Linked DNA regions of Sus scrofa. The protein of the gene in region 1 interacts with the protein of each later gene in a biochemical or structural test. Links are inferred from orthologs where the notes say so. Each region holds a gene or a part of one and is shown on either strand. Other genes may lie near its edges.

Region 1 (4,132 bases):
AGACACACCCTGGCTGCGTCCTCTGCCCACTGCTGTCACTTTGGTGCCCTTCTCTAGCAGGTGGCGCTTTTCTTTACAGACCATTTCTGCCTTCGTTTGAAGAGCGTGGAGGGACCAAAGCCATGGCCTGCAGAACCTACAAAGCCTTCTTCATCCTTAAATGGATGAAGGGACTTCCTTAAAACAAAGAAACAAACACAAATGATTCTCATCTTAAAGTTCCACGGACCCAATGCTCGGTAAGGAAAGATGCAAAGCTTTGCTCCCCCACATGTAGGAAAGGCCCTGCTTTAGCTCCACTTACTGCAGGTTTATGATTCCTGCTTAAAAGGTGGGGCCAACCAGAGCTGAAGGCCCGCGAGAAGTCACAATGGGTCTTGTGGGAGAGGGAGTCGGCTGTAGACAGGCAGAAGACATCTGTCCTGAAGGAGGAGGAGGAGTAGGGCAGGGCGGGCTTTGCTGGAAGCATTTAGCTAAAACCTTCCTGCAGCCCGAGAAAGCCGGCTTTCTTCTGGCCGAATCCTGAGTAGGTTTCCCCGGCTTTTCTCCTGTCAGAGTTGCAGCGTGGTTGTCTTCAGGCAGGGGGGCCCACAGCTAGTGTGTGTGCTAAGCCTTTATTCTAAGTGCTTGACTTTTTTGAAGTGATTTCCTGCAATCATTCGTCTTTCAAGTACTGCTCGCTGGTGCACGGCCCATGAAATGCTGCGGGCTCCTTTGGTGCCTATGCATTCACTCAACAAACATTTCCCCAAGGCCAGAATCTGTGCTAGAGGTGGGAGTCCTTATTTCAGATGATTTCAAGGGTGCTTGACGGGACCTGAAGGACCCTGGGACTTGAGTGCATCTCAGAGGCCAGGGGGCGCCTCTGCCGCCAGGCCAGCCTCTGACCCGCCCTGGGATCCCGAGGTGCTCAGAGAAGTTGGGGCCACAATTAAACAGTGGTCTCCCCCGCTGGGCCAGCATCCGGCCTTGGGCAGAAGGCTCGGTCTGCTCCGCGCCGGGACACGTCTGCTCTGCAACTTGGAGGACGGCGGAGGGGAATGGGCAACCCGGGGGCAAAGGTGGCTCCAGGAAGGTCAGGTCGCCAGCAGCAGGCAAGTGGGCGAGGACCTGCCCTGCCGGCGGGGCAGCGCGGGGCAGTCCTCCCGGGGCTCGGCTCCGCAGCCCGCTCCCGCGCGGCGCTCCTCCCGCTGTCGCCTCCTCCGCCCCGCGCGCCGCCCGCCCCTCCTCCCGGTCCCTCCTCCTCGAGCCCGGCCTCCCCGCGCCCCCGCCCCCGCCCCCGCGAGCCAGACGTCCGGGCGGCCGGCGCAGCGCGCAGCCTCCGCCCCGGCTCGGAGCTCACGCCCGCGGCCCGCGCGATCCCCGTCCGCTCCGGCCGCCGAGCCCGCGCCCCGCGCCCCGGCCATCGCTGCGTCCCGACCGAGCGCCGAGCCCCGCGCGATGCGACGCTCCTGGGCGGGCGGCGCCGCGCTCCTGGCGCTGCTGGCCGCGCACTTCCAGGCGAGTCCGGCGCTGGAGGAGAAGAAAGGTAGGGGCGACCGCGCCGCCGTCCCGCCCGTCCTCAGGCGGCCGCGCAGCCTCGGGCGCGGCGGGCCGAGGAGCCCGAGCGCCGCTTCCCTTCCGCCCTCCCGGCCCCCGCGGGGTGGACGCCCCGGCGAGCGCGTCCCCGCACGTGCGCCCGCGGTGCGCCGGGCTGGGGGGCGGCGCAGGCGGGACGCGGGGCCCGTGCCCGGACCCCGGGACCCGAGCGGCCCTCCGCGCCCGGCCCCGCACCCGCGCCCCACGCCGGAGCCAGCTCCCCGACCCCTCTCCTGGCGCGGCCTTGACCCAGAGGCTCGAGAGCTCGTTCCGGGCACTGGCCACCTGCGCTTCGGGACCGGGAGGCCAGAGGTCCTCCGGCCCCACCGCCCCTCCGCGTCCCGCAGCGCCTCCCGCCGTCCGCATCCCTCGGGCGGCGAGTAGCCACTTCCCGGGACTCCCGAGATTTGTCCCCTCTTGCAGCCCTTGGGCGGCGTGTCCGCGCTTCGCAGTGGAAGGGACGGGGCGGTGGGAGCGGCCGCGGCAGGAGGGCCAGTTCTGGGGCGAACGGTCCAGGGGCGGGACGCATCCGGGCCGGCCGGGTCCCCACAGTTTCAAAATATGGCTCACAGCAAGCGTTCCTCCTCAAAATCTAGAGATTTCTCTCTCTGGGATGTGTCTTTTAGCTTTTTGAAGAATTTGACATCAGGCCAACCAAAATATTAAACTTTAAAAAAAAAAAAAACCGGATTGATGTCCGTGGTTCACGTGGGCCAAATGTCCAGACCAAACATGAGCGAGTCTGGCTTCGTGACTACCGACCATAAACCCACTTGACATGAGAAACATGCCTGAGAAGGTTTAATTGCACAATTTCAGACTCAAGCAGCCGGGGTTCCAAGAGTCAGGTCTGTACTTGCTGTTGATGTCACTGGCACAGCGAGACAGGGTTTGGTGCTGAGTGCGATGGTGGGGGGAGCAGTAAGTCCTAAAGCAGTGCACCCCAAACTTGGCTGCAAATTAGAATCGGTTGGGATTTAAAACGAAACAAGACACCTTGTCTGGCTCCCACCCCCAGACTGCCTAATTTCACTGGTCTGGGATGAGACTGAGGCATCTGGATTTTGAAAAGCTCCTCAGGTGCTTCTGCTGGGCAGCCAGGCGTGGATCTCACTGGCCATGGAGGTGAAATCCCTGAAGTGATTACCTGCAAGGGTCAAAAGCTCTTTCAGAACCACTGGAGTTTTAACAACCTTGCAAAATATGGGAAAGAGGAGGTGAGGGATGGTATGAGTGACCAGGCATATGCCTCTTTTCACTGAAAGCGTCTCCTGACGGGTCTCGAGGCCCTGCTGCTCCCTGCTGTGAGCCCAAGGCTGTGGTCCTGCTCCTGAGATAGTTGACCGCAGGGTCCTTTGAGCAGCAGGGGCCCTGCTGCTCCCTGCTGTGAGCCCCAGGCTGTTGGGGGTGGGGGCATCCTTATTTTAAATTAAAGTGTTGGAGCATCTCCAAAGCACCACCTTTCTCCAGAAGAGCCCGCAGCTCTCCGCTGGTACCCCTTTGAACACTGCTGTTACCGCTTGGAGATTTGTTTCTAAGAAAAATATAAATACCACTTAATTTGCCTGTTAATCCCGTATTTGTTTAAAACAGAATGCTCCTGAATAGAATAGTGGGATTAGATGAACAAATGTCATTGGGCTAAAGTAAATAAGATGACCAAGTAGGGCAAAATATTAACCCAAAGTGTGAAAGACCCATGTCAGTCACATTTGGTCAGCTTTGTTCTAGAGAATTTACTCATTTTAGAGAGATCTGTTTGGTTCTAAGATGTAGTGTCTTTGTTCTCACTGCACTTGGTCCTGCCAGACGCTGTTTTAAGTTTCCTTTGAGTCCTCACAAACCATACGAGGTGGGTCCTCTCTAGTCTGTGGGGAAACCCAGGTCTGGGAAGTAAAGCGACTTTTCCAAGGCCAGCAAGAGGCAGAACCCGGATTCACACTCAGGCCTCTGGCCTCCCAGAGGCTCCCCTGCCACCTGACTGCGATGCCTTGTGGGTTCTGATCTCTGGAGCCCTGCCGTGTGTGTGTGTGTGTGTGTGTGTGTGTGTGTGTGTGTGTGTGTGTGTGTGTGAGAGAGAGAGAGAGTGAGTGTATGTGTCGGGGGTGGGGGGAGATGGGGATGCCGCCCTCCTGCCGTTGGGACCCCTCTCCTGGCACTTGGGAGGCGCCTGTGGAGGAGCTCAGTCACAGCGAGGAGCTGGGAGACGCTGGGGGGGTGTTGAGCAAGCCCCTCGCTCTAGCAAAGCTGAGGGTGAAGGTGCTGCTGCGGCAGTGACCTTGGGTGGGATTCCACCTGGGCAGGCCCTCCTTTTAGGACATCCGTGTGCCGTGGGTCTGGGCTGTGTTGAAGAGGACCTGCTCGGGGGCTTTGAATGGTATCCAGAGAGAACCCTCCTTCCTCTGAGAAGCCCGGACCTGAGGACGCCCATCAGGACAGGCCGGGAGCCCAGGGGCCCGGGGCCGGGCTCTTGCTTGGTATGATGTGGACGCGTCCCTCGCCAGCTCTGGGTCCTTATTTCTCAATTCAGTGGCTATTTACTGAGTGCAGGGCA
Region 2 (3,993 bases), on another chromosome or scaffold:
TTTTTTCCTCTTCCTCAAGTCAAGAAAAATCCAGTTCTGGAATTGTAGATACATCAAACTTAGTCAAATGAAGCAATTCTCTCCCTCTCATTTTATCTACTTGTCATGATTAAAATGTCCTACTAGATTCTAAATAGGCACTAAAATCTGGCCCTTTTATCTGGGGATTGCAGAGGCAAACTCTTGGGCACTACCCTTCATGCCAACACACTACCAGTAGAGATTACTCCTGTAGGCTAACTATTGTTCTCCCCAGAAACTTTCTTTCCAAAGAGAAGTTTAGCCTAAATCCCTTTATCAGAGAGGAAAGAGATTTTAGAGTCAGTGGAACTCGAAGTTAGGTCCATCTGGCTTTTGCCATGACCAGCGGGGTAAAGTACTCCTTGCTTGGTAAAGCTGACAGGTGTCCCTCTTGTAAAACATAGAAAAAAATGATACTTGCCTAGCAAGGTTCTGGAGTGACCTGGTGTAGGTAATATGCTTAGTGTACAGTTCCACAACATAAATTAATGATCAATAAACTATCATTTTGACAAGGACCCTAGGTTATATAAAGAAATGGGATAAATGGGGAGGGAGATGATTGGAAATGCAGGCTGCTTCACAGTAGTGGAGGGGAATCTCCAGGGTTGAGATCCAGGCCCATGGTATACAAAACAGCTTCTCCTTAGGAGGCATGGCTCTCTAGTCATGGAATAAACGTCATTATTCGCATTAAAGACATGGGGTGGGGCTTTCCTTGTTAAGTCACTCTTGGGCTTTAAGTAATTTTATATTTTAATAGGAAATTTTCTAGTTAATCCCTGTCTGTTGTAATATTCAGATCAACCAAAGCATAATCTGAAGGTTTTTTTTTTTTTTTCCTCCAGATAGTTTGAAAATTTGGGATTTCTGAATGTCAGATATTAGCTTGCAACTCCACCCTTGCTCTCAAATAAGAATTGGTCTTTTTTTTTTTTTCCCCAGCCGGCAGCAAGGGTCTTCATTTTCACTTCCTCCCAGCGGCTCTCTGCGCTCCGAGGAGGTGGGGCGCCTGGCATCCGTTTGTGGTTTTGGGGTAGTAACCTGTCCTGGGGCGGCCGCCCGCCTCCACCCTCCGCGGCGACCGTGACGTCACGGGCGATGCCCGGGTCCCGCCCGGCCTATAAAGCCACTGGTGCGCGCCGCGCCTCCGGAATGTTCGCACACCTTGTGCGGGAGCCGGAGCCCAGGGAATCCCGAGGCGAGCTCCAGGCGCTGCCTCCAGCGCCCGAGCCCGGCCGGGCCTCTGAGCACAGCTGCTCGGCGCCCCTGGTCCCCGGTCACCTCCTCCCGCCCGCCCGCAGCTCCCGGCCGAGTTGCCCCAGAGACCGCGACGCCACAGCTCCGCGGGACCAATGAGAGCTCCGCTGCTGCCGCCGGCGCCCGTGGTGCTGTCACTCTTGATCCTCTGCTCAGGTGAGGACATCCCGGCTCTGAGCTGCTGAGCACTTCTCCCAGCCGGGGCAAAACGGTCGCTCCTTGAATTTTGCTGCTGATTCTCTAAAAAATCGCCATTTGGCGGCCCTGGTTCTGTCTGGTGGGAGGTGACCTTGGTCCCTCCCTCTGTACGTTACTCCCTGGGAGTGGGCAGGTGTATCTTAGATGTTCCAGGCCATCAAGAGGGGGCCGGAAACTCCTTGTACTTTTACTTTAGTCCAGCTGAAGGATCTCCTGCTTAGAGAGCCTGTGAGCCAACCCTTCGCTTGACCGATAAAGAAACCAACCGACGTCCAGAGGTGAAGTGATTTCCACAGATTTTGGAGTAGAGTAGTTAAATCCTGGAAGGAGACGCGCAGCCTTCTGCCTCGATTCTCCATCTCCTCTGTCAAGTACTTTTGTTTTTTCCCTTTCTAGAGGGTTTCGCATCGTCCCAGAGAGAAGTTAAAAGCACCACTTTGACACTGTTTTGTTTAGATCTAAAAGATAAAGCAGGGACTTGAAACTCTGGCCCCCAAATCTTAACTTCATCTCTAGTTTCTTCTCTTTGTGAGAACAGTAATAAACAGTGGCAATAAGGAGAATTATAATCAATTTCTATTTTCATTACTTTTTAACATTTCCTGTACATAGTCTTCTTAAACGTGAGCATATGTTAAGAAAACCCGGTATTTATTTCTAGAACCTGTTTATTAAAATAGGACAGGTAGCATCCTAACAAACACAAATGCATTTCATATGTGAAGTCATGGCAATGTTTAGATATTACCTGTTAAATAAGTGTAGCAACTTGATTTACCTCTTCTGCAGTATTTTGTTTCTTTCTTTCTTTCTTTCTTTTTTTTTTTTTTGATGTGGGAATTAATGTACATTCTCTATGGAAATGAAAACCTTAATGAAAGAAGCTCTGTCATTGGAACAGCTGAGTTTGCTTCTTGGCAAAAATGTGAAGTTGCTTTCATAAAGTGACTCAATCATAAACAATAGCACATGTGCAATAACTGCTTTGCTATCAAAAGATAAACATTTCTCCTGCGCGCTGCTCCTGCGCTCTGCTGACTGGGGAGAAAAGACATTCTGCTTTATCTTCTCTTCCATTTTGCCCTTGTTCCCATAGCCCATTATGCTGCTGGACTGGACGTCAACGGCACCTCCTCTGGGAAAGGAGAACCATTTTCTGGGGACCATGGTGCTGAGGCATTTGAGGTGACCTCCAGAAGTGAGATGTCCTCGGGAAGTGAGGCTCCCCCTGCTAGCGAAATGCCTTCTGGTAGCGACTATGACTATGCTGAAGAGTACGATAACGAACCGCACATATCTGGCTATATTGTAGATGATTCAGTCAGAGGTGAGTAGAGGGTAAGGTGACAATGTAGCCAGTGAGATGTGTGTTTGTATAAGACAAGCTGCTTCAAAAGAAAAGCACTCCCCGATCTCCTAGTGGCTTTCTTGCCCTCTCTTTCCTGATCCACTGGCTAAATTGAGATGGAAAGAGCTATTCGTGGCCACATCCTATATGTCTGCAGCTCTAACAAACGTTTTATGTCTAGGAAGGCTAATCTTTGCAAAACATTATTCAGTGGGAGTTGTTATCCATTTACAGACGTGAGAACCGAAGCTCAGAAAGGTTAAGCATTCTTCCCAGTGTTCCAGAGCCAGGATGAGGACTCCAGTCTGTTTGATTCCAGATACTATGCTCTTTCATACCCTGCCACGTGACCCTCAAATGAGGGTCCAGTCCTATCTATGTTGTATCTCAAGTTTTATATTCACTCCCCTCCACCGTTTCCCCCCAAATAACTGCATTTTTAGCACAAATAAGGGAACAGAAGTAATGGGAAAGGAACGATTGGACCTTAGCCTTTAAGGATAAGGTGTTGCGAAATTGGTAATAATAATAGTCATACCACCTTCTGGAAATAATAAAAGAAGGACAAGTATGCGTGGATTATGTATTGATAGAATCACTCTTTAATCCCAAATCCCATTTGTCAGTTAAATAATGTGACCCATAGTTTTCTTCTCTTTGGCTGTTATCTGATCATTTTAAAAAAGCATTTGCTTAAAAGGAAGTTACCAAAGGAAGAGGTCAGTCTTGTTACCCTCATGTTACTTTGGAGTTTGAGGGCAGAACAGGTCATCAGCAAATCAGATCTAAGTATCCTAGGAGCCTCCACTACATAGGCAAGACTTACAGCCCTCTCTTTCCTGATCTTAGTTTCCATGGCTCCTCCTCCTCTCTCTGGCTCCCAGAACTGGTGAAGGGAGAGAGGGTGATACCATAGGGACAGTGACTGGAGGAAGAGGCAGGTGGAGAGAGTTTTACTGAATACTCCATGTTATCTGCCTTTGGAGCTTATGCTCTTCTATAAGGTGAGGAAGGAGTCTGTCTATAATTCTTATTTTGGGAAGGGAGGAGATTAGACCATCAAGACTTAGAAATGGTTCTCTTAAAGCTATTTCAAGTTGTTAACATTTCAAAAGGCCAAACACATTGTTGGTAGTGAAAATGGCTAGGGCTTAACGTTCCAACGC
Region 3 (4,240 bases), on another chromosome or scaffold:
AAAAAGAGGCGTTCCCGTCGTGGTGCAGTGGTTAACGAATCCAACTAGATACCATGAGGCTGCAGGAACCATGAGGCTGCGGATTCGATCCCTGGCCTTGCTCAGGGGGTGAAGGATCTGGTGTTGCCGTGAGCTGTGGTGTAGGTCTCAGACGAGGCTCAGATCCCGCGGTGCTGTGGCTCTGGTGTAGGCCGGCGGCTACAGCTCCGGTTAGACCCCTAGCCTGGGAACCTCTATATGCCTCGGGAGCGGACCTAGAAAAGGCAAAAAGACAAAAAAAAAAAAGGAGCCCTTTCACTGGGCTTAATGCTGGCACTGGGCAGCTCATGCACACCCGAGATTAACCACTGCGGAGATCATTGTGAGTCCCTGGGCTGGAGACTTTGCCGGTCCCTTTGCTTCAGGCCACCCTGCCCAGATGGGGCCCAGCTTGACCACCAGTGCCCCTGGATGTCCCCTCAAAACGCCCTGGGACCCTTGGCACAAAACAAGGAGGGAGTTGGAGCCCGGGAGACAGAATGCCTGGGCTTCTACTGTCGCTCCCACAAGGAACATCCTCCAGATGGTGCTAAGGGATAGTGCTTGAGAGAATGAATGAAGTTGAGCAAGGCTTTGGGCCCTTCTCAAAGCCCTCCAGCCCTCAGAGCCCACGCCCGCCTTCAGTGCAAAGCTCATCCCCAGGCGAAGAATGAAAGGCAAGGTCTGGAGTTCCCGCGGCGGCTCAGTGGAAGCAAACCCAACTAATATCCCTGAGGACACGGGTTCCATCCCTGACCTCACTCAGTGGGTTAAGGATCCGGCGTTGCCATGCGCTCTGGCTCAGCTTGGATTCCGCATTGCTGTGGCTGTGGTGTAGGCCAGCAGCTGCAGCTCTGATTCGACCCCTAGCCTGGGACTTTCCATGTGCTGCAAATGCAGCCCAAAAAGAAAAAAAAAAGAAAAGACCATGTCTGTGCCCAGTCTTAGTTCCAGTGGGCCCCTACCCTGTGCCTGCTGCAGTGTGACCCAGCCCAGAGAGCAGAGGAGGGGCCTGTGGGGAGGGTCTCCTGCTCACTGGCCTCCTGCCGCCCCAAGGCCAAGGCCTGGGCCTCATTGTCTGCTAGCCCTGCCAGCCCCAGGTCCCTCCCCTGGCTGGCACACTGGTGAAGGGAATGGCCCTAACAGGGCCTTGTCCAAGCAGGAGTCCCCCCCTCCCAGGCACCATGTGCTGGGAGGGTATGGGAAGCAGGAAGCTTGGGAGACCCCCACCCCACAATCTGGCCCCAGCGCCCACCAGGCCAGGCTCCCACCCAAGCGCTTCCCTTCCCCCGCCGGTGCCGCCCCACCTGAGCTCCTCCAGACACCCGGGTGGGGCCCGCGGTCAGGCCACGTGCAGGACCGCGTGGGGCGGAGGGAGGGCGGGGCCGCCCGGCTGCTCTTAAGGCGGGGCCAGGCCTTGCAACTCACCTGGGCGCTGACGCCCTGTCCCGGAGCCTGGAGTGCACACAGCCGTGCCGCCCTGGACACCAGGTAGGTGCCTTTCTTCCTGGAGAAGAGCGGGAGGCTCAGCACCTTCCCCCAGCCTTTGTCTCAGCCCCTCCACTTCTGCTGGGGCCCGAAGGGAAGGTGGAGAGAAATGGGGAGGGGGCTGAGCCCGAGAGGAAGATGTTCCCTCGGGACCCAGGGCAGCACTTGGGGAGAATGAAAGCTGTAGCCTCAGTTACAGATGAAAGAACCGAGGTCCAGAGAGGGGCAGAGGCTTGCTGGGGGGTCCCCAAGACGCAGCACCCAGCTTCCTGCCTCGCAGCCCAGAGTGCCCCCACAATGGGGTCTGGCCCTGAGCTCCCTGCGGGGCCCTTCAGAGGCCACTGGGAATCCAGGAGATGGGGACATGGCCTTCGCTGGTCCTGTGGGTCCCTGCCTGCGGTCCCCGGGTCTGCCTCACTGGATCTGGGAGGGGAACGAGGGGGTGGAGCTATTGAGGCAAGGTGCATGGGGGAGACTCGGGCCTCCCCCTCTGCCACCCTGTCTGTCTGCTGACCTGGGCTTGTAGGAAGGAAAGACTAAGTCCAGGAGAAGCTGGTAGTGAAACGGACAAGGGGGGTTGCCAAGGAATCAGGATGCCCCTGCCTCCAGAGAGCTTGGGAACAAAGGGAGAGATGGGAGTCCAGTGGGTGGGCAGGACTCTAAATAGGTCTGAGCTGCCTGAAGCCCTCCTTACCCACAGCCCGCCAGCATCCACACAGACTGAGCCCAGCGACCCTCCCCTCACCCTTAGAGCAGAAAGGAAAGAGCTAGAAAGTGCGCTGGTGGGGACAGGAGAGGAAGGTGTCAGGAAATAAAGGAGTGAGAACAGCCTTGCCTAGGGAGAGCCAGTGGTGCTTCAGGGAGTGTTCAAAGTGGGAAGGGTTTGGAGTTCCCTGGTGGCTAAGTGGGTTAAGATCCAGCATCGTCCCTGCTGTGACTGGGGTCACTGCTACGGTGTGGGTTCAATCCCTGGCCCAGGGAACTTCCGCATGCCGTGGGTGCGGCCAAAAAAAAAAAAGTGAGAAGACAGTGGGTTAAGGATCTGGCATTGCCGTGAGCTGCAGCAGAGGTCACAATTTCGGCTCGGATCCCACGTTGCTGTGGCTGTGGCGTAGGCTGACAGCTGCAGTTCCCATTCACCCCCTAGCTGGGGAAGTTGCATGTGCTGCAGGTCGGCCTGAAAACAGCAAAAAGAAAAAAAGTGAGAAGAGTTTAAAGAAAAGCTTGAGGGGCCGCCTGCCCTTTGCTTAATCCCAAGCCTGGTCCCCTGGGTTCCAGAATCCCAGAAGCAGAGAGAGGCTTAGATCTTAAATCTACAAAGTGGTGGCAGAGATTGTGGGTCTTGGAGCCAAGACCATGTGGGTTCAAGTCCAGGTCCACTGACAGGTTCTGTGGGTTGTATGACTTTAGATCAATCCCTTAGCCTCTCCAGCCCCACAGTAAGAGTACCTTCTTCAGAGAACCATTGAGAAATTAAAATGAGCATGTTTTATGTGTCTGTTATTATCATATTCCCATTATACAGATGGGACAACTGAGGCCCAGAGAGGAAAGGACACTCGCCCAGGGTGGTACAAAAGCCGTTTCCAAATCAGTAGACAGACATCCTCGATCCTGGTCCTGAGGGAGGACCCAGGCCCCAGGGTGCTCCTCAAAATCTGTATCCCAAGGCTGCTCTGCAGCGCCCAGCCGAAAACCCTCCAGGGTGCTCCACGATCCTGCCCCGACAAACCCAGGCCACTTGGAGCGTGTGGGGAAAAAGCCAAAGCTCCGTGTCCTCAGCTGCCCCCAGGAAGGCGCTCAGCATCTATTCCCTTCCACTGCCATTTATAGACACGCTTCCAGAGGGGGGCATGTCCAGGACCTGGCCAAGCACGAGGCTGACAGCAGGGCAGGCAGGAACTTCGGAGGAGGAGAGGGTTCTGGCTTTTCTCATTAACCTATTGTGTGACCTTGGGCAAGTCACACCCCCTCTCTGGACCTCATGTGTCCTTCCGCATTTGAACTCCCTGTGGTATAAGGAGATAAGAGTCTAAAGTCCAAGCCTGGGTTCGAATCCCTGCTCTAGCACTTTTCTGGACATGCGGCCAATGCAAATTGCTTAACCTCTCTGAATCTCAGTATCTTCCTCTGTCAAATGGGCTGCTAATGGGGGTGCAGTACTTCCCAGGGTTACTAGAAGGTTAAAAGGGTTACCATAGATAAAATCAGTGCCTGGCACATGGTGAGCGCTGAATAAAGGGGAGCGCTTCGTCTCGAGTATTATGAAGGTGTTATATTCTACTTAAGCTCTTATTTCTAAGTAGTGCTTAGATGCGTCCAACTGCTTCCACAAGCAGCACCTCACTGGTGTGACATCACTCTCTCTGAAGCTACAGGGCAGGGATTCTTCGTCCCATTTCACAGATGAGAAAACTGAGGGTCAGAGTTATGTTTGAGCTGGGATTTGAATCCTAATCCCCAGACTCTGAAGTTCCTAATCATTTCATTTGCCCCAGGCTGATCTCACTGCCTTTTCCAGCACCAGGGTCTGACTCTAAAGCAGGATGTGAGAGAGGCATCTTGGAAAAAGAGAGAAGCAGAGTTGGGCAGTGCTGGGGGGTGAGGGGTAGTGAGGCTCAGGGCAGGCAGTGGCAGCGCCACCGGCGTGTCCTTACAGTTTTCTTGGCAGCCTCTGTTCCAGAACCAGCTTACTTCCTACCCAACCCCCACTCCATAAGAAACCGCTAACATG
Region 4 (4,302 bases), on another chromosome or scaffold:
ATTGTGCCATGGCAGGAACTCCTCCCCTCCATTTTTGATTAATATCAACCACCACACCATGCGATTTGGCTTCCTGAGTGGATACCAAGGTACAAGGGATGCAGCGTCTAAGTCGGGTCCTAGGGGATCGTCCTAACCAATGGGAAGTGGGAACACTGAGGGAGCAGGGAAGATCAGTACCTCCCCCTTTCTTCCTTCTGTAGGTTACTCCAAAGAGTGGTTTCACCTTGCACCCTGTATGGAGAAAGCCCTCAAGTGAAAATGCATGTCAGGTACCTGGATGTTTCTCTTTGCAACTTGTTTTGAAGTGGTAACCAATGCAGGATTTTTTTTTTTTTTTGCCTTTTCCAGGGCCACACCCACAGAATATGGAAGTTCCCAGGCTATGGGTTGAATTGGAGCTGTAGCCACCAGCCTACACCAGAGCCACAGCAACTCAGGATCTGAGCCACGTCTGTGACCTACACCACAGCTCACGGCAACGCCAGATCCTTAACCCACTGAGCGAGGCCAGGGATCAAACCCACAACCTCGTAGTTCCTAGTCGGATTCGTTAACACTGAACCACGATGAGAACTCCCCATTCCCCCTTCTTGACACCTTGAGACAAGATCCTTTTTCTCTCTGGGCTCTCAAGACTGTTGGCCTAAATCGCAGTGAAATGTGGAAAAGAAGAGCTAGATTCTAGTCCCAGCTCCACCATCAACAGCCGAGACCCTGAAAGCCCCTGGCTAAGGCATGTAACTTCTCTGAGCTTCAGCTTACCCTCCTGGCAAATGGGGATAATTAATGTTCCCTGTCTTCTTCTCATGTGTGCGGATCTCTCTGGAGAGAAACGGGATTGGTCCTTGGGGGTGACAGGGGAAGCAAGCACACTGCAGGTTTAAGACATCAGCACTGAAGTCCTTAAATAACAACTGCCCATCATCTTGCTGCTAATAACGACCCACTTCGTTGGAGGAAATCCCCACTCCCTTTCTCTGGAATTGCCTAGTTATATCCTAACCCAGCTCCCGCCAACCCATCATCTGCTTGAGGATGAAGCCAGGCTCCCTCCTCCTCACCCCTGTGTCTCACAGATTCCATATGACCTCAGAAAGTCCTTCAAAAGTCTGACCCACATTCTTCGTGTTGCAGCTCTGCTCCCTTCCCTCCATGTGCGTCCTAAGAGCACAGTCCTGAGTCTGAATCTTCGATGACTCCGAAGCCCCATCACCTCATCAGGCTTGTCCTTCTGAGGTTGACCTTACCACTGCCACTGCTCAGAGAGAGAGAGGGAGACAGAGGGACCGAGAGAGGGACAGAAAGGGAAGTCCCAGTCTGGACTGAGGGCGTGGAGAGGGGATGGAGATAAGACAGCAGCAAGGACCCAGACACAGAATGACACAAATACTCACCGCACCCCACCACCTTCAGCTGCCTGGCTTCCGGGGGTGGGGCGACCGTCTTACGGCTTTCCATGACGCGAGTCCTGCGAGAGGGCTGGGGCTGTGGGTGAGGCGACATTTCCTGCCCCCGGAGGGGCTGGGTGAGAGGAGGGATGACTTGCTGAGTGTGCACACCTTTTGAGAGCCCGCACACACACCCTGCTCTAGGGGCTCCTCTGCTAGGCTGCCCCCATGGAGCTCCCCCTGGCCCAGATAGGCGCCCAAGGTAAGTGTGAAGTTGGAGAACGTGGGTGGGGGAGATATCAAGACCCCCCCCCATGATCCCTGCTCTCTCCCCGCTGGCCCTAGCTCCCACTTTAGGGCCCAGAGCTGGCAGGGCTGGCTGGCAAGTGGCTCACAACCCCTGTTACTCCTCGGGGGCTCCGGGTCCCCGCAGCCCTGAGGATAAAGATGACAGAGTCTGCTGAGTGCTCCTTAGAGAGGAGGGGAGGGCAACGGGAGGAGGAAGGGGGACAAGGGGCAGGGGATTCTGGGCCAGAAGACAGACCTGCCCTGAAGAGATCTGCCTCCCTGCCCAGATTTTGGGACGTCGGGCCATCGGAGGGCTGGCTGGCTTCCCAGCTCTCCTGCCCAGCACCCAGTTTCTCTGACAAGCCCCTCTGCCGCCTTGGCCCTCTGCACCCTCTTGGCTCCTTACTCCTCCCTAAGAAATCACCTCAGCATCCCTCCTGCATCTCTCCTGCTGTCATGACTGTCCCTGTCCTAGGGGCACTCCCCAGTCCCCCAGCGAGAGGTCCACGGGGTCCCTCTGAAGGGAGGAATGGGCAACAGAAAGGCCGGCCATCACTGAGAAAGCTCTCTGTGCTAACAGGGAGTCGAGAAGCCCCCGCTGTAACCTTCAGCACCTTCCAGCCCATGGACTTGAACCGCCGGAGCTGCCAGGGCCTGGGTTCGCTTCCGGGACCCAGACTCCAGGCCCCGAAGGCCGAAGAAGCCCAGCCCAGCCCCAGGGCCCCGACTGTCCACGTGGCGGTGAGTCGGAACCTGGGGGGGGGCAGCTCCCTCCTCGGCTCCCACTCTCCCAACTTGAGGACTTGCAGATAGACAAAGGCCAAGGCAGGAATGAGCTGGGGCTGCCGACAAGGCCAAGGGTACAGAGGGAGGGAAAGGAGAGGGGGAGGGCCTCCTTCAGGTGCTGAATGGTCCACTCACTGCTCCTCTGTCCCTGGGGAGCTCAGGGTGTGTCCACAAGTGACCAGGGTACAATGATTTGAGTTCCAGAAACTTGCACACCTGCAGCTCTGTCCATTGCCTTCATTTGGCCAGGACAGCCTTATCTCAGTCTTTCTCTGCCCTCCTTTCACTGGGAAATCTGCCCAGCTCGGTCCCTCCTAATGGAGGGTGAGCCCTCCCTCATTCTGGCCTCTGGAGTTCCTTCCCTTCATTCCTTAGGCCAGGGAAGGACTTTCTGTCCATCTGGAAGGCCTCACCTCCCGTTAAGCACAGTTTAATAGCTCACAGCTACTGCACCAAAAAGGCCCACAGGCCCCAGACAGAGTGGAAGGAAACTCCCTGGAAACAAAAACAGCTGGAGCTGGTGTCCCCATTGTGGTTCAGTGGGTTAAAAACCCAACTAGCATCCATGAAGATGTGGGTTCAATCCCTGGCCACGTTCAGTGGGTTAAGGATCTGGTCTTGCCGAAAGCCGAGGCATAGGTTGCAGATGTGGCTCAGATCTGGCATTGCTGGGGCTGTGACGTCGGCCTGCAACTGCAGCTTTGATTCAACACCGAACCCAGGAACTTCCATATGCCTAATGAGTGGCCCTAAAAAGGTAAAGAAAGAAAAAGAAAAAGAAAAGAAAGAAGAAAAAAAAAAAAAAAACAGCTGGAGCTGAAGAAGAGATTTAAGTTAGAACTTTCTGGGCAATTACACCCTAGAATAGGCCACTGGGATGAGGGGTGACTTTCTCCACATATCCAGGAGGGGCTAGGTATGAGAAGGTGACAGCTGGCTTCATCCAGGAGCCAGCTGCCACCTGGCCCGTCAGGAGAAGGACCACTATTCATGGCTTCTTCCCCTTCCTTGAACTCCTCCTCTATCCAGGCCCCAGGCGCTACGTGCAGCCCAAAAGACATTGGGAAGGCTGAAGAGATGCCTAGAGAAGAAGCCTTGTCCCTACAGGCAGAGACTCTGGCTTGGTTCCAGAAGACCCAGGCCCATGAGCTCCTGCAGCACGGGGAAGCCCCTGCCTGGTTCCACGGCTTCATCACCCGGAGGTGAGTCACAGAGGAAGAAACAGGCTCAGAGAAGGGCAGGGGGCCAGTCCTGAGTCCTGCGGTCAATCAGGAGCAGATTGCAGCTACAAGCCCAGGCTATGAATTCTGGAGGTTCAAAGGCTGTTTACTAGGGTAGCTCTCCTGCGGGAGATCATTGGAGAGGCTCCAGCGCAAGCCCCCATCCTATGCCTCGGTTTGCCCCTTCTAGGCTCAACCTTCCTCCTGTCTCTGAGGCTTCTCATGTTCACAGTTTCCACCTCCGCCTCAGGCTCTCTCTCCATGCATATATATATATATATATATTTTTTTTTTTTTTTTTTTGGTCTTTTTGCCTTTTCTAGGACCGATCCCGCGGCATATGGAGAGTCCCAGGCTAGGAGTCTAATCAGAGCTGTAGCGGCCAACCCACGCCACAGCCACAGCCACAGCCACAGCCACGCGGGATCCGAGCTGCATCTGTGACCTACAGCACAGCTCAAGGCAACGTCGGATCTTTAACCCACTGAGCAAGGCCAGGGATCGAACCGAGTCGGTTCCTAGTCGGATTCGTTAACCACTGAGCCATGTCCGGAACACCTCCATGCATCTTTACCTCTGGCTCTCTCCAGCCCTCTCCTCTATCTTCCCACCTTTGC

The links.
Region 2: the proteins of EGFR (region 1) and AREG form a complex in vitro, tested with the Homo sapiens proteins (2 studies listed by BioGRID and IntAct, with this or other methods). The link is inferred for Sus scrofa from reciprocal best matches to the Homo sapiens genes EGFR and AREG.
Region 3: the proteins of EGFR (region 1) and TNS4 form a complex in vitro, tested with the Homo sapiens proteins (2 studies listed by BioGRID and IntAct, with this or other methods). The link is inferred for Sus scrofa from reciprocal best matches to the Homo sapiens genes EGFR and TNS4.
Region 4: the proteins of EGFR (region 1) and SH2D2A form a complex in vitro, tested with the Homo sapiens proteins (2 studies listed by BioGRID and IntAct, with this or other methods). The link is inferred for Sus scrofa from reciprocal best matches to the Homo sapiens genes EGFR and SH2D2A.

What each region holds. Positions count from the first base shown.
Region 1 is NC_010451.4:139,301,083-139,305,214, forward strand, and holds the start of EGFR (epidermal growth factor receptor precursor), read left to right. Parts: upstream 1-1,327; 5' UTR 1,328-1,440; coding exon 1,441-1,528; intron 1,529-4,132. UniProt on the Homo sapiens protein: Receptor tyrosine kinase binding ligands of the EGF family and activating several signaling cascades to convert extracellular cues into appropriate cellular responses.
Region 2 is NC_010450.4:70,416,748-70,420,740, forward strand, and holds the start of AREG (amphiregulin precursor), read left to right. Parts: upstream 1-1,187; 5' UTR 1,188-1,376; coding exon 1,377-1,437; intron 1,438-2,575; coding exon 2,576-2,806; intron 2,807-3,993.
Region 3 is NC_010454.4:21,922,782-21,927,021, forward strand, and holds the start of TNS4 (tensin-4), read left to right. Parts: upstream 1-1,434; 5' UTR 1,435-1,509; intron 1,510-4,240. UniProt on the Homo sapiens protein: Promotes EGF-induced cell migration by displacing tensin TNS3 from the cytoplasmic tail of integrin ITGB1 which results in dissociation of TNS3 from focal adhesions, disassembly of actin stress fibers and initiation of cell migration.
Region 4 is NC_010446.5:93,280,887-93,285,188, forward strand, and holds the start of SH2D2A (SH2 domain-containing protein 2A), read left to right. Parts: upstream 1-1,496; 5' UTR 1,497-1,619; coding exon 1,620-1,653; intron 1,654-2,259; coding exon 2,260-2,420; intron 2,421-3,494; coding exon 3,495-3,667; intron 3,668-4,302. UniProt on the Homo sapiens protein: Could be a T-cell-specific adapter protein involved in the control of T-cell activation. May play a role in the CD4-p56-LCK-dependent signal transduction pathway. Could also play an important role in normal and pathological angiogenesis.